2 linked regions of the Kluyveromyces lactis genome follow. The protein of the gene in region 2 purifies or fractionates together with the protein of the main gene of each other region. This does not show direct contact. Links are inferred from orthologs where the notes say so. Each region holds a gene or a part of one and is shown on either strand. Other genes may lie near its edges.

Region 1 (3,765 bases), on a different chromosome or scaffold from region 2:
AATATCCATTCAAAAATCTTCCACTAACAACTGATCGGGCGAGAATCATTTCATCTCTTTTGTAAACGACAGGAGAACCAAACAAATAAGCATTTTCTATTATTCCGATAGCACCTTTTTTTGCTAACTCAACTAAACATGAATAAATGACACGAGATCCTAAGGAAAACCCGACTAAGGTAATTGGCCTGTCACCTAAGTTTTTGGCCATAAGCGTATCTGCTAAAACCAGCCCAGCAGCCCACGCCCTGTCAAGTGATACATTCCACGGATTATCAATTAAATATCCCAACTTTGAAAGTATGTTGGGTAGTTGGATAGCAGCCATCAAGGCAGTCAAAACTGTTGCGCCTAAGATTTGTTGAATAGTTTGAGTTACAATTTCACTAGCTAAGATACCCATCGTCTGACCCGTAGATCTTAGCATGTCTGGCTCCCAATACAACGAGTATAAATCACCGTTTATCGGATCTACGGTGCTGAAGGGTAATCTAACATCATCTTCATTACCGTTCATCCAGCCCGAAACCGATAGTATTAGGTTAAGACGTCTGTTATTCTGAAGAGGTCTAAACTCAAAAGTTCTAACACTCCCCATTCTCCTTTTCATAGATGTTGTTCCAATTTTTGCACCAATAGCAGTACTTGACACTGCAACAACTGTTGTACCTCCTACCCCCGTTAAGAAACCTGCGGCACCGGTTACACCGATTGTTGACAATCCCGCAGCAAACCCAGCCCCAATAACTGGCGCAAGTAGACCACCACTCAAACCAAGAACTAAAGAGCCACCAAGAGTTGCTAAACCAATGTAGCACAGTTTTTTTCTCTTGATTGCCTTCCTTCGTTTGTCCATATGGGCTTTTTCATCCCATACCTGATCTTCTGTGCATTGTTCGAGTTCTAATGCTTCTATCACTCTTTTCTCAAATTGGCAGATCTCAAGCGGATCGATATTTAGCACCTTGGCAAAATTAATTAATAATGAACGTGACCTTGCATCATAATGAGAGTCCTGCACTAATAAAAGAAATAAATCACAGATAATGGTCCAAGCAACATCAATGTCCAAACTCTTAGATGTCATTATATTCTCGTCAGTTTTAGATTCCGTTTTTAGTTCAGGTATATCACTTGTTTCTGCCAATGGATTGTCAATATGCTGTGTCACTTTCAAACAATTACATAAATCCGATAGTTCAATCCCGTCGTTTGATAGTCTTGATAACATTTTGATTTCTTCAGGTTCAATTTCCAAATGAGCGTAAAGTCGATTTAATATTAAGCTCCTCCAATGCCCCATATTCTTCTGTAGACTTTGCAACCGTTTCGCAAATTTCTGTTTGGAAGTCATATTATGCGATGATAATGCTATTGAAACCAAACGAGTACACATCTCGTTAACTAGCACAGTAATACATGCAATATATGCAAACTTTTCTTTATCATTTAAAAGATCTTTCGTAATCGATAATTGATCCGTTGTTGTAATATTTTTAGAGCTTATTGCTTCCTCTTCTTCATCATCTTCTGACAGGAACTGGGAATCCGGTGTACCAGATGTTCTACTAAGTGACATAGAAAGAGATGCACTAGATACCGCTAGCTTCTTATGGTTGAACAAAAAATCGGTCCTTTTGTTAGTGAGGTACGATCTCTGTGCTTGCTCCTCACCATCAACCTTGGTATACCCGAAAGTGCTCTTTTGATTTTGAGAAGGTGTACTATGTTCATTTAACGACAGAGTACTTCCTGTTCTATTCATGCCTTCTAACACAAGCTCTCCATTCTCATCATATACATCAAAGGAGGCAACAGTAGTCATTGGCTGCCACTCAAGGGAAGTATCAGAATCCGTAATAGAACCATTTTCATCTTCTTCCCGGATTATCTTCCCGACATTGCCAGTTTCTTGAGACTGCTGCCTTAAATCAACAGAACTATCAGCCTGTCGTACTGCGATCTCCTTGACAGCTTCTTCTCTTTCTTCTTCCGAACCATCGGATTCAGGACTAGAATATATGGTCTGGTTAGGCTCTTCAGCAGCACTTTGTGTCCCAACTGACTCTATCATATCAGCTTTATTGTCTTTCCCATCTTGATTAGAAGTAAGCTTCTTGGTTAGCTTGAGCTCTTTCAAAGCAAACCCAAGGTCCTCTTCACTGTCTTCGTGACACTCAGACATATGACTAACGAAGCTGTTATCCAGTATCTTGTCAGAAACTTTGAATTCTGTTAATAGTCCAATTCTTTCCGCACCCTACAGTCCGATTGTGTAAACACAACACTTTTAGTGCTAATTGAATCGATGCTGTTTTCATGTTCTGAAGCCCTTTAATCTTGATGTCAGGACTGTTCAATGGTGTCCTGATGTTTATAAGAATATTGTCCTTCTGAACCCAGACATATTTTCAAAAAAGAACTGTCAATGAATGACTTCCTATTTCAGCTATTTCGAAGGTTGTTTTTCTTTGGCGAAACCACTTCGATGATCTCGAGATGCATGAAACTTTTCGGCACAATAAACCTTTAACTTGGAAGATTATAGTTACATTTAACATCAACATTATAGCAGTATAGTTTAGTCAAGGCTAAAGAAACCACAAACAACCAATTACAACAATGGCTCCAAATGTATGTACAAGAATGTTGTAAAATCGCTTGTTTTTAGAAGTGAATTGGTTACTATTTGCTAGAATTATAACATCAGAGAATTTGAATATATTTCGTAAAGGATGAAGGACTGTAAACCAACGACTTCCTCTGTATCGTCTCAAACAAGATTTGGATGACAGAAGTTTCTAACAATGGAAAACTCAACTTGGTGGCTATTCTGTTTTTTAATTATTCATCTTTATTCAGCAATTGATGATTGTTAATAGCAGTAGGCTGGTTTATTTTTTTTGTACAAGAGATTGTGTGGACTGCATACCTCATAGCAGCTTCAACAGATCAGTCGACCGATCTGTCTCTAGCTTCAAAGAGTGTATGCTATTCAGTTCACATAGCTTGATTGACAAAGCAATGCCCTCCCTTGGACTTTGATTTACTAACGTTAAAGCCATTCATCAAATTGAACGTTCGAATGTTCTTTTTGATTTGATCTCTATTCATACAGACTGCTAGAAAGCAAAAGATCACCAAGACCTTCACTGTTGACGTTTCCTCTCCAACTGAAAACGGTGTTTTCGATCCAGCTTCTTACGCTAAGTACTTGATCGACCACATCAAGGTTGAAGGTCACGTCGGTAACTTGGGTCAAGCCATCACTGTTGAAGAAGATGGTTCCGTTGTCACCATTGTTTCTACTACCAAGTTCTCTGGTAAGTACTTGAAGTACTTGACCAAGAAGTACTTGAAGAAGAACCAATTGAGAGACTGGATCAGATTTGTTTCTACCAAGACCAACGAATACAAGTTGGCCTTCTACCAAATCACTCCAGAAGATGAAGAAGAAGAAGAAGACGAAGAATAAATTCTTTGATCAAATCAAAAATTTAACTCGTTTCGCTTTCTTTCTTTCTTTTCAATCGCATTTTTGATTTATGCTTGACTGTCGAAGTTTTTACTACTAGAAACTGTTGAGAATGGTTGGAGGCTCTCAAAGCGCTCGACTTATTCGCATGTTTTGTCTCTTATATTAATATATATATAGTTCAACGACTGATCTTCCATGAATCTTTTTTAATAGGTTTTGTATATTAATTGGATAACAACTACAGGTATAATTGATTAATATGCATAGTTAACATTGCAGCCTTCATA
Region 2 (3,005 bases):
AAAAACTTGAGAAGAAGCTGGAGAGCAGTAAGAGATGATTGCAATTGCCCAGTATGTCACTTCTTTCTAGCAATGAAAGAAACGTACAGGCATAACTAAGACTAAGCAAGGAATGAATCATGACAGCATGTATTTGCAAGGTATTATGCAAAACAGAAGTACACTATTATTTATTTATTTAATACATTCTATTTATCCCCTATTAGGATGCCCTTCTTGGGATCGATTTGTTTGATGTATTTTTCAATCCGAGAAGCCATCATGATATCAGCATCGGAAATACCAGATACATCATGCGTAGTGAGTCTGAACTGAACTCTGTTGTAGGTAGTAGTAATTGTAGGATGATGGCCCCATAAGTGTGACCTCATGGCAACTTTGTTCAAAAAACTCCATGTCTCTTCAAAATCTCTGAACTTATAATCTCTAACCAATTCATTCTCCATTAATCTCCATTTAGGCAATTTTCTGAGTTCTTGTGTCAGAAGTTTTGGTGGCAACAGCACTGGTACCTGTTTTACTATCTTATTGTACATGTCTATACTATTCAGTGCTTGAAGAGTGGCATTTATTACCTTTTCCAGCATCTCTCTATGCGTAGTTGATAGAATTCCAAGATGTAAGAAATCTTTATTAACTAAAAATATTGAGAAGAAACAAAACACAAGAAGCACCATTTTATCAAAAGTGCTTTGAACAAACACCTTCAAAGCCATTTATTCTAGCATATATAGTAACTGCAAACCTAACCGAGACCTGAAGTAAATTTAGAGTGCCGAGTTAACTATCAACTGATGGTCAAATCAGCCTTGTCATAATGTCATCATGTTTCCTTTTGCTCGATGAGACGTATGAACCGCTAATAAGAAGAGCACTACGACCGATCCATTTCCTTGATGATGCTATACTTCAATTACAGAATAACCTTAAACATCATAAGGGATGCACAAAACCTATATTCGAAGGCAATGGGTGGCATTACGCTGTGATAACTCGTGATAACCTATATTTCGCTATGATAATGCAAGTGAATAATAGTGTTTCTCCCATAAGTGTGTTACATTACTTAGATGAAATCTACCAGTTATGCAGGAAATTTATGGGCATGAAGCTTAACAAGCTCAATGTACGAGATAACTTCCATTTAATTTTCGAAGTTATTGAGGAATCATCCGATTATGGTATCATACAGGTTACAAACTATAATATTATACATGATTTCATAAAGGTAGAAGTTATCAAACCCGACGATGATTCCGAGAATACAGCCTCTGAAAAACATGAGCTGCCACCAGGTGACCAGGATGAAACATTCATAAACAGTTATATTCTTCGAACGATGACATCTGCTGTCTCATGGCGTCCTAAGGGTATCCATTACGGTAAGAACGAATTCTTTCTTGATGTAATTGAGAAATTAGAATTCATTATGGATTTCGAGGAAGGTGTGGTCAGAAATAATGTAATCAACGGAACAATAATATGCCGGAGTTATTTGTCTGGTATGCCTCAATTGAGTATAGGATTGAATAAGTTGATGCAGAAGAATGTACACTTCATGAAACGTTTAAAATTCCATGAATGCGTAGACCTGCATACCTTAATCAAGGAAGAATCTCCAGTTATTAAGTTTATTCCACCGGATGGAGAATTTGAGCTTTGTAATTATAAATTGAATAGACCGCTACTTGATGAACCAGTTATAAAACTACAGTCATTCGGGCTATCCCAAAAACCTAGAAAGAACCAAGAAACCCAGGATAAGCTATTGTTGAAAGCTGCCATAACTACGCATTTCAAAGCTCAGGATAGTGCAAAGGAGCTTTTAATTAAAATTCCGATAAAGTCAGTTATTCGAAAGTGGAATATTGACCTCGAAAAGCCGCCCCTGTTTAAAAGCGATATAGGAGATGTTGTGTTCGACATAACAGCGGGTTCGATAATTTGGAAAATTAACAATTTGAAGGGTGGTCATGGAAACAAGAATTATGGGCTTAAATGCATGTTTGAAATATGGGACCGCCAGATTCATGAAGCTTTAGAGGTGCAGCTACGAAATTCCATGGACCCACCACCTTTAAGGACTGGCCCCAAACTAGAGAGAATTTGGGATCAGTACCATGGAAAAACTACGGAATATGATGGCAATGAGAACCAAAAAGAAGATGTAGACAAGTTCGCGTTAATTGCTATGTCGTTTGAAATCCCTTATTATGCAGTGAGCGGTTTAAAAGTTGAGTATTTCAAGATCGAAGAACCTCAATTAAACTACCAATCTTTCCCATGGGTTAGATACAAGACAGTCAATGATAACGAATATATATACCAGGTTTCCATTTAGTTAAAATTACCAAACTATATAGAGAAAAAGAATAGATTCTTTTCCCGTCAGATAGATAATTACGTGAGATCGTCGGCTATTTCTTTCAAAAGAGCAACTTTGCCTTTGAGGTCTGCTTCTCTCTCGGCATACGAAATCTCCCAATTATGCAACAGTAGTTGTTTGTTGCTTTCAATTCCTATCCTGCATTCCTCCCTAATCTGTAATTGGAATTGCTTTAACATGGAATACCAGGTATCCTTTACACGTTTCAGGCCTAAAACAATACCTAACGAAGATAATGCTCCCATCGAGTAGGCTGTACATAACTCTGTTACAAATCCTCCAATGGAAACAGCTATTAGTGGGAATTGCAACTGTAAGAAATTCAAGTAAACTGCCTTATTAATTTCTTTGTGTAAAACAGGTACTTTGTTCCTAGCATAATCAGGGTCTATAATGGATAGCTTATCCTGAGGTATGCCTAAAGATCCATAAATATGTGATAAATTTTGAACCATTTGAAGATCATTCGTAATGTTACAAAGTTCGTGTAATTTCAACGATAATTTGGATTCGGAATATGTGTAAACTTTCCAAAGGGAAAGTTGTTTGGAAGCAAAATCAGATAATAGAGGTTCGATAGATGTTTGCAACTCTTTGTGTGCTTCTCTGGACCACTCTT

Evidence for each region.
Region 1: the proteins of APM2 (region 2) and MIL1 purify together in Saccharomyces cerevisiae (affinity purification with mass spectrometry; 3 studies listed by BioGRID, with this or other methods). This does not show direct contact. The link is inferred for Kluyveromyces lactis from reciprocal best matches to the Saccharomyces cerevisiae genes APM2 and MIL1.

Annotation. Positions count from the first base shown.
Region 1 is NC_006040.1:444,281-448,045, forward strand, and holds the start of MIL1 (Mil1p), read right to left. Parts: upstream 2,186-3,765; coding exon 1-2,185. Other genes in the region: KLLA0_D05181g (60S ribosomal protein eL22), read left to right, coding at 2,623-2,634, 3,119-3,475. UniProt on the Saccharomyces cerevisiae protein: Probable lipase that recruits the AP-1-related (AP-1R) complex to membranes via interaction with APM2. The AP-1R complex is an adapter protein complex that mediates of cargo protein SNC1 sorting in clathrin-coated vesicles.
Region 2 is NC_006042.1:2,364,770-2,367,774, reverse strand, and holds APM2 (Apm2p), read left to right. Parts: upstream 1-817; coding exon 818-2,341; downstream 2,342-3,005. Other genes in the region: NFU1 (Nfu1p), read left to right, coding at 1-38; MCO14 (4a-hydroxytetrahydrobiopterin dehydratase), read right to left, coding at 189-716; KLLA0_F25410g (uncharacterized protein), read right to left, coding at 2,401-3,005. UniProt on the Saccharomyces cerevisiae protein: Component of the AP-1-related (AP-1R) complex, an adapter protein complex that mediates of cargo protein sorting in clathrin-coated vesicles. AP-1R has a specific role in SNARE SNC1 sorting.